Linked DNA regions of Tribolium castaneum. The protein of the gene in region 2 purifies or fractionates together with the protein of the main gene of each other region. This does not show direct contact. Links are inferred from orthologs where the notes say so. Each region holds a gene or a part of one and is shown on either strand. Other genes may lie near its edges.

Evidence for each region. The genes of interacting proteins can lie anywhere in the genome.
Region 1: the proteins of crb (region 2) and patj homolog purify together in Drosophila melanogaster (affinity purification with western blotting; 7 studies listed by BioGRID, with this or other methods). This does not show direct contact. The link is inferred for Tribolium castaneum from reciprocal best matches to the Drosophila melanogaster genes crb and Patj.

Annotation. Positions count from the first base shown.
Region 1 is NC_087403.1:1,763,560-1,768,884, forward strand, and holds the start of patj homolog, read right to left. Parts: upstream 3,643-5,325; 5' UTR 3,509-3,642; coding exon 2,768-3,508; intron 528-2,767; coding exon 1-527. Other genes in the region: beta-arrestin-1, read right to left, coding at 5,133-5,223, 5,273-5,325. UniProt on the Drosophila melanogaster protein: Involved in cell polarity establishment. Probably participates in the assembly, positioning and maintenance of adherens junctions via its interaction with the SAC complex.
Region 2 is NC_087397.1:9,939,479-9,944,286, reverse strand, and holds part of crb (protein crumbs), read right to left. Parts: intron 4,353-4,808; coding exon 2,951-4,352; intron 2,902-2,950; coding exon 2,591-2,901; intron 433-2,590; coding exon 1-432.

The sequences.
Region 1 (5,325 bases), on a different chromosome or scaffold from region 2:
ACTTCCACGATGCGATCATTCACTTTAATCCTCCCGCTTACATCCGCCGCACTCCCTTTACTCACACTCTTCACGAAAATCCCCGACAACTCCTCCTTCTCGCATACGTAGCCCGCGATGGTTATCCCCAACCCCTTCACGTCCTTCTTCAATTCCACAACGAACTTCTCCATTTCCGGCATTTTCACCGCCATATCCAGGTTCAAAAGCGGCAAGGATGGAGACGCTGGCACGCGCGATAATCCCGTATAACTCTTTGACTGCTCGAATTGATACAGATCCGTTATTTGATCCATACCTTTGTGGAAGATTGGCGGATATTTGTGCTGAATCAAATAACGATCTAACTCAACCGAATCGCTTAAAAGTCGCGTAGGCACAAGCGGAGCTGAAGATCCTAAATACTTATATTCGGGAGAACTAATATCAACCGGTCTTGCAACCACGAGACGCACGTGGGTCCCAGATTGTCGTAAAACAGTCGCCACTTGCTCAGAACCCATCTCGTGCAGATTCACATCACCAATCTGAAAACAAACACATTTTCCATTTCCCCACAACTTTTTTCAATGATGTGAAGGCTTTTGGTGCAAAAAACGTGCAAATATAGCTAAATCGTTTGTCATTGGTATAATTCGACGAAATTTCTTCAAATATCTATTCCAGGCTCAAGACAGAGCTAATTGGCTAAAATCACATAAGTGGATAATAAAAAGCAAACAACAAAAACGAATATCTACGTCACATTTCCTTTTCCCCTTGACAGGATTAGCCGAAATAACGCAATTTGCTCGCAATTCGGCTAACAAATCTGTAAGATACGACGAAAATACGTTAAAAAAAGTAGAGCGTGAGCCGGCTCAAGAAAAAGTTAAAAGTATGTACGTAACTAAGCGCTTATTTCATTTTGTCCCCTTCAGAAATATCGCTGAAAATAATTTGTTTTGAATGTCGAGTTTGAGAGTTTTTTCCGGCACCGTAAACGTGAATGAAAATTATTTATCTTGTACGTTGAACTTGAAAGTTTTTTGGTAGCGAAGATATCAATGCAAACAATTTGTTTGAATGGTGTTAAACTCGAAAGTTTTTTGGAGGAAAAACAGCGATTATACGTCTCTCGCAAAAAAGTATCAGGTGTTCGTATCGTCAATGGCCATTCATTTGTGCGTTCAGCACGTGCGCTCCCAGTTTCTACAAAAATAACACAAATCTGCGAGGAAAAATTGTCTGAGCGCAAATAGCGATTTATTTGGATTTTCAGCTTACTGTAAAAATATTAAAAAAAAATCCATCACGTACAGTTTCTGCATAATAATTCAATGAAGCAGTCTAAGGGCCATTTTTTCTTATGGATTAATAGTTTTTGAAAAAATACAAACAAAAGCAAAATTTAAAAATATATAATTTGCCAATTATTGAAAATTTGGAATTTTCTTGACGTCAATCGATTTTCAAAATCATTTTACACAAGTTCACATTAAAATAAATCTACTTTTTCGAATAATTTAAAAAGTGAGTGTGTGAATATTTCAACATGTTTAGACATTCATCAGGGAATAAAGCTTTCTAAATAATCTATTTAGAAGATTATCATAGCAAATAATAATAATTTATTTACGAGCTAGAAATGGGTTGAGAAAATAACCGAGTTAAGTAAAAATTTCTGGCCCAAGATTGAGCTAAATCACTCAGAAATGGCTGAATCATGTAACTAGGCACAGAACAAAAAAATCAAAATAAATATGTAGACGTATAAATTTATTTATGTCGTTTTGGTCCCTTTTCAAATTTCCTTATTCCTTTTATTTATCCATAATTCATGTTATATATTTTTTCTTTTAAAAACTTGGCAGCTTGTTTCTCTCATGGGCTAAGTTTCTGGTTCAAAAACGAGCTAAAACGCTTGAAATAATCGAAAATAGCGTAAAAAATATGTATGTAACAATCTGACAAGCTTGGGAAAATGATCTTTACAATACTTTTATCTCAAGTAATTTTTTTTAAATATAAAATGAATACTTACTTGTATGTAGGTTTATTATTTGTCTGAAGTTTTTCTTTATTTTTTTCTTTTTATGGGTTAGGTACAATTTTACATCAAATCGGAGCCTTTTTATAGTATATTTTCTTTATATTATAAGAAAAAAACGTTACTACACATATTAGAAAACTATTGCCAAAATAAGGCGTTCTAAAGCAATTTAATAATTTTAAAGCGATTGTAAATAACAGAGAATATCAGTGCAAAGCGTAGTTTTCGTCTCAAATGAAGCCATTTGACTAAATCCCAACCGATTTGGCTCCTTTTTAAGCGAGAAATCGTATTTCAGTGAAACATGCACAAAAGACGTTGTTTTTGGCGAAAATGGTGCGATTTGAACCAATTCCAAACTAGTTCAAGCAAAGAATGACTGTAAATCAATGTGTCAACGGAACCAGCCCAAAAATTGCAAAAAATTTCAACCAAAACTGTATTAGATCTCTTCGCAACAGCCGAAATATAAAAAGATACTATAATTAATTAAAATCAGTGTAATTGATCGTACGTGGGCTTTTTTAAAGTTCACTGAAAAAAGTTTACATAAAAAACGTCCTTGCTATAAGAAGCTGTCCAAACGTTTAAATTTAATTGCACAGCAATTCCCGCTTGTTGTAAAAAAATGTTTTTAACGGAATTTCTTTCTTACTCAAAATAACAAGAAAAGTTAAACTCGCGATTGGTGGTTCAGTGAGTGTAAAAAACAGCCGATGTGTTTGTTGGCCCCACCTGCAGAATGTGGTCCCCGCTCTGGAGCCGTCCGTCCCTGTCGGCCACTCCCCCTGGCAGTATGGTCTTGACGACAACCCCCATATTCCTCATCCCCACGATGCCGAAGCCTAGCCCCGTGCCATCATTGATGAGATCAATGCTCTCGACCTGCGACCATTCGCTGCTGAGCAGGCTGTCGGAGCCCGTTTTGGAGGCGTCGCTCCCTATCGAGGGGGACCTGTGGATGACGTCGTCGTCGCCGGCCCCGAAAGCCTGGTTGTTCTGCAGGAGGCGCAGCGTCTCCTGGTTGCAAATGTTACCGTTTAGCGTTTTGCTGTTAAGGAGTATCATCTTATTGTCAGTGGTGTTGAAGGGATGCACGTGGGGCGAGCCGGGCGAGATGGGGGCCGAGGGCACGCGCTGCTCGTCGAAGTCGCGAGCCGGCTGGTAGTCGTCGGCATAGTCAGGGTCGTACAGCTCCCCGGAAGGGGGCACGTTCAGCACCAACTCGCCAGATGCTGTGATGTCGAAATCTACGGGCAAAATAGAGGGATGCTCGCCCAGTTGCTGGTTCAGTTCGCTTAGGGAGTCTTGCACGGTGACTACGCTCCGAAAGACGGGGTTTTCCAAAACGGAGATTAATAAACATAGGTCCTGATATGTGTTTACTTGAAGTTTCGGATCGCTCAACTCGTCCACTGTCTGTTTTATGTCTTCTAGTAGTTGTAAAGCACTCGAAATATCGGCATTCAAATGCATTATTTCTTGTTTTAAGTAAAATTAGTAAAAGGAAAATAAAATCTAAGTACACGAACACACCCTCAACTTTGCACCCTTTACTTGAAAAACAAAACGAAACGTCAGCTGTCACTTTCCAGCAGTACCAACACCGACAAAACCACTGGACTGGCGAAGTACAAGGTCAAGCAATAAAAGATGTTTTTTTTACTCCTAATTTATTTTATTTACTTAGTATACACAATTATTTTACAGAATATTACATGAACTTAAAGAACGAAAAATGCAACTCTAGTATACTTCGAAAATCAATTTTCCACCGAAAGTAACAAAAATAAGGACATGTATAGATAGAACAGACAGTTTGCGGTCACATTTCATGATGGTCAGAAAAAGAACGATGATTTACTAATGTGAAGAAAATACATTTATCACAAGGCACAACGTGTGTGAAAAAATACATTGTTACACTGATATGGTTAGAAATAAATCTGTAATAGTCGAATTGAGCGTAAAATTAAAGTATCACAAGTGGTTACAAATACTGTTTTTGTAGCAAATCATCTAATATGCTTATGCACGAAACAATGTTCTTGCGTAGTGATAAATATTTTCTCCTTATGGCGTTCAAATAAATGCATGAGTTCGATCAAATGCTAAGACAACATACAAAACAGCAAAGATAGCACATAAATAATTTTGAAGAAAGCTTGTGTATACAGAAAGAGAGGAACATACATACATTTTTACGAACATTAACCCTAAAAACGTTTGTGTTGAACTGCATTTAGGTAACAGTAGCACTTAACTAACTACCCAAAAAATCTACGGTTGTAATCATAACCGCGCTGATCATTCATCCAATCCAACTCTGACACAAAAATATATTAATCTGTTATCAGCCTTTTACATATTTATGACTACAACCGATAGTCAGTACTTTATATTTGAGTATAAAAGTGCTTTAAAAAAGTAATACAAAATACTTATTAATTAAATTCAGTACAAAGTTATCATTTAATTGTAAAATTAGTATGTAGCGTTACTTTATTATTTTCTGCGAGTAATTTAAACTTTTACACCCATTATAAGAGCGAGAGACAGACGAAAACGGAAACATTATTTACAAAGGAAATAAATACAGCCAGTTGAATTGTGCACAATTTTAAAACACTAACACCACTAAATGAATGCAAACGTACAAAACGCCAACTAATCGCTTAGCCAAGACTCTGCGCTTCTGATAATAGGTATAGAATTCACTCTCTAGGTACAGAAGGTTAAAAAATCATAAGAACTGAAGTTTGATTTTCAGATAAGCAAGATTTGGTTTTATTTTACAGAGGTTGAAGAAAGTAAGTTGAGCGCAGGGGCTTTTAATCGCGGCACTCAAACACTTGACTAGTATTCCATTTGAAATAAAACTTCAAAGCAATAAAACTACGAGTGCCCAAAATGCAAAAGTACGTCAAAAACCCCTGCCCTGAGATAAATGGGTGCATTCTGGTTGTGACTGGCAGCACAGCCGATGACTAGGGCACACACTTGGATCATGGGTTCACACCTAATCGCAGCTGATATACACATCAGTACGTATGGGTTGGAATGGACGGGCAGGCTGCATAGCCTGAGCCTGTACCTTCTTTCATGCGTCAGTCTCACCTCCTTTTAATCGAAGCCGAGCGAAATCTTCGAAAATAATGTCGTCGTCGTGATCTTGCAAATTATTTTCGTCCCTAAATCAAGCAAAGTAACGACAAAAAGCAACGCAAGCGAGACACATACGCGTCCAGCTGGATCAAATTGGCGTCGACCGGAACATCGGCCCCCACATCTTT
Region 2 (4,808 bases):
ATTCCACGTGTTTTCGCACACACCGTTGTGTAAACACGGATTTATTCGGCAGGAGTTATCAGATCGGACGCCTTCAAGGACCGAAGTTTCGTCAAATCGAACTTCACCGAACGATTTCGGGATGTCTAAGTCTTTCACGTTCAGAGGGAAGAATTCGACGATCATGACCGACGATCCGTTGCTTATTTGAACGTCTTGGATGATTCCCTTGAAGTGGACGTTGCTTAAAGGAGTTGCTATTACGGCTGAAGAAGTTGGGGAAATTGTATCGATTTTGACTAAGTTGTCGTTGGCTTGGCGCACCGGTCGGGTTTGTGGGGGTCCCCCGAGAAAGAGGACTTGAGCATCGAGGGTACCCGTTGCTGAAATTGTCTTGCGGAAATATTCAGTTCCATTTAGTTTTACTTGCACTAAAGTGACGTTTCTGATGACCTACGAAAAAAAGGACACTAAAATCGTGCACTTATCACAGGTGTATTAAGCGCAAATTTTTCCGCAAAAAAAAACTTCTAATTGCGTAAAAACTAAACTTTTAACACACTTCAATTTGATGTTGAATTTATACTGCAGAGCAGCGAAACGTGAAAAACAAATTTGGGAAAAATAATTTCAAAATTATTCCAATCGCTTTCACGTAAAAAATAAAATCCTTCTGTTTTTAAAAGAAGAATTATGAATTTAATCTATATAATGTTGGTAGTGGAAAATTTGGTAGATTTTGAGTAAATGAATCTTTAACTTTATTTGATCAACTAAGTATATAACATCTTACAACAGCTCTGAGAAAACAACACTCTGGTTAAAGATAATTTGAACCTGTGATTAGATCTTCTCATGTAGTTATTTTTATATTTTTATTTTTATATTAAAGTTTATTTTTGAGACTTTATTGTTCAAATTTTATGTGCCTATAAGTCATACTCGGGTAGATTGTATACATAAAAAATTCAAATAAGCTAACAATTTAAACTAATAAATGGCATTTTTGTGGAAAAATCCATGCAAATCCTAAATACTTGAAGCATTATGATTCAAAATTCACCACTAGACAAAATTTCTTTGATATCCTCAGTTAAGTAGGTTTCGAAGACTAATTCTAATAAAACATTAAGATTTCATTTCAGAGCTCTCATTTTAAAAATAGTAAAAGTTTGGTTAAAAATTATTAAATGGAAGCGTATTTTCATTCAAATTGTTCTTAGCCAAAAAAGTAGGATGTATGTATTTTTAGATCTAAGTAAAACTTGGAATCCCCTGTATATCTACTTAAATAAGAAAATTCTGAAAAAAGCAAGTTTTTTTGGTTCAACTTATTTTTTGTTTTTAGCACTAACTTTTATGTTTCAATAATTTCCACGAAATATTATTGCTATTCAAAAATCTTGCATAACTAATTTTCTCAGTTTTTCCTTTGAATGAACACAGCAGTTAATAGTTTTAAATTTTTCCAACCAGATTATTAATTCAAATTTTTGATAAAATGACATTTCTTGTTTTTTCCCTGTAGTCTTCAAATACATTCATTGAAAAAAAAAATTCCAGTGTTAAAATACATGATAAAATTATTTAATAATATGATGGACAAAACTGAACCACGGTATCAATAAGAAAGAGACGACAGGGCCAACATTTTTTATAACTACAATAAATTAACCTTTAATTTGAGTTGAGTATCATTTAATTAATTTTTATTGGGATAGCAGACCAGGTGCAGTTTATTTTGTTGATTTATTTACTACTACAAACGTTTCGCCACTTTTTGGGACTTCTTCAAGGCAATAAATAATTAGAAAAAACCCAAAAAAAGTTGGTGGTAATAAAAAAACAACAAAACAAACTGCACCTTGTCTGCTATCCCATTAATTATTTAAATCATACTCAAATTAAACTAACAGCAGACGATGAACTGTGAATAAAATTAATTCACCTGCTCTGAGTTAATTTCGTCTAGATTTTGAAAGTGTTATTTTGAGTAAATGACTGACAAATTCAATAAAAAAATAAGTAAAATTATAAAAATTCAAAATTTTAATAGAATAAAAAAAATCCACTAAGCGAAATCTCTAAAATCCGACGAGATGATTGATGAAACAACTTGGTATACTACATAAATTAAGTGTAAAATAATAAAACTAAATCAGACATAAATGTTACTATTATCAGTCAACTCCACAACAAGTAACTGTGTAATTATTTATGAATATGTTAAAAAGAAGTCAAGAAGAAAATTTAAATAGACGCTTTTTTGCACTCAATTTATTTTAATTTCTTTTATTAATTTCATTTTTCTTAAAACGTTTATTTTTGTTATTAACTATTCGTACATATTGTTTGTTATAAATTTTTTGACTGTTTTTTTTCTCAAAAATTCTTTTTTTCTGAAAGGAATTTAATCCGCCTCTGGCGTTTATTCGAAAAACTTAAAAAAAAGATGAAGTCTATTTTTTTATTCTAGTAGAATAATTTTCATTAGGACATTACTATTTATAAACTTATCAAAATAACCAAAACTAGCAAAAATATGAAAACAAGGGTTTTAAATTGAGAATACTGAAATTGAATTTTGAAAGCACAAAAATAAAAAACCAACCTCAATTAAATGGTCGTATCCATTATCCAACTTCACACCGCCTACAGTATAAGCCTCTGGAGTACCATTAAACTGTATCCTGACCAACAATTCGCCCCCTTCCAACTGTGCTGCAATGTACGTCTCCTCCGACGGATTCATAGTCCTTGGCAAGGACCCTAGATAAAAAATCTGTCCTTTTGGTTGCCTCGTCCTTATAAACATGCTAATATCGACTATGGTACGAACAGCCCGTCTTGCAGCACTGTCCACGTAAACCGTAACCAAAGAATCGGTTATATTTTCATAACCAAAAGTCGCAGCTGTATAATCTAAAACCAAATCGTAAAATTTGCGTCAGACTCGAAATAAATTCCGTACTGTATTGGCAAGTGTCCCCCAAGTAGGGCCGTCCACAAGTACACTTAAAATTGACCCAGAGATCGGTACAGTGCCCCCCTGAATGACACGGGTTCGGATTACACTGCGGCTGTCTCTTACAACTTGGCTCCACTTCTTGAAAAGTGAACGCGGGATTTGTGTGTGGGCTTGAGCTTGGTGGCAAAATCCATTCGCCGTTGATGAGCACGTCTTCGGTACAACCAACCAAGTAGGTTTTACCATGGGTGAGTTTTTTCAAATTGCTTGGGATCCCCCCAATGTATGTCAAGGGGAAACTGGTATAGGTGGTGCCATTTGATATTTCGTTAAAACTGATCGGATAAATTGTTTGTTCGTCGTTCGCTGATAAAACAAGATGAGTTGAGTTAATCGCAACGAAAACGCGTTGCCATTGACTGTCGTTTAAGTTCGATCCGATGAAAACACCCTCCCACTTATTCAACAGGCTTGAGTGCAAGTTTAGGCGCCCTCGGGATAATTCAAGAATGTAATAAGTCAAGCCTTTGCCCAAAGCCAATAATCCATCGCCCAGTGTTGTCTTGAAACGGAACTGGATGTCATAGCCTTCCTCCCGTGACGTGTTTACAATAATTAGGGACTTCCCCGATAGCGACATCGTGGTGATTTTTTCGCAAACTTGTCCGTAATAGCCATGAGGGCACGAACAATTGAACCTGTGGATGTTTTCGTCGATTAAATACGGTTTGCACGTCCCGGAGTTCAAACACGGGTTGGTATCACAGCCTGTTAATCCAACCGAACAGTTTTTCCCGCCGTAATTCGCGTCACATTCGCAATAATACGACGCTCTCCTATCCCAACATTTCCCGTAAACGCACGGTTTGAACCGTTCGCATTCATTGATGTCTATATCGCACCTCTCGCCCTCGAAACCCTCATCACACGTGCAGGCAAACCCCCCGATTTTATCCACACAAGTGCCTTCAAAGCACGGATTGCTTTCGCATTCGTTGATGTCGATTTCGCAATTTTCGCCTGTGACGCCGTCAACGCACAGGCATTCGTAACCGGCGGCTTTGTCGTAGCTAAATTCCGCCGAGAAAATTTCGGGGAGGGTTTGGTCAGAGAGTTGGTAGAGGGTTTGGTTCGAGTGTTCGTAACATGTGCCGTTGTGTTTGCACGGATTGCTGTCGCATTCGTTGATGTCGATTTCGCAGTTTTTGCCAGAATAACCGGCATAGCAGTGGCAATCGTAGTCCTTGACTTTGTCCTCGCAGGAAGCGCCGTTTTCGCAAGGGTCGCCTATGCAATCGTTGATGTTTGTCTCGCAGTGGGTGCCGGTGTAGCCGGTGTCGGTGCAGTTGCAGGTGTAGCTGTTGAGGCCGTCGATGCATTCGGCGCCGTTCAGACATGGAGATGACTATAATTAAAAAAATGTGAGGTTGTACAGATATGGTCCACAAAATTTATAAGAAAACACGAAAAATGTGTATTAAACAAAATTGTAAGCTTCGTACAAAAACGATCTCTGTATTTAATGTTTATGTCAAATTACTTCTCTTGCTCGCTTGCATCTTTGAATGTCTTTAGGGCCTAAATCGGTGAAATTGAAGTCCCTTTTGAGGAAAATTTAATTTACACTTTCTTTCTTAATGCTTTTTTTATCTTCATCGTATTTTTAGCGTTAAAAAGATGAAAACAAGCACAAAATTCTAATTTTTGTTTTATTTTTTCATGTTTCCCTTAAAAATTAATTTTAATCTTCAGGACAGTGCAGAATAAAACGAGTAATTGGCTAGCAATTAAAATTCACTCATGAGGCGGTGACAAATCGATGAGGTTTTGGAAAAATAAATAAAAATAATAAATTGACTAA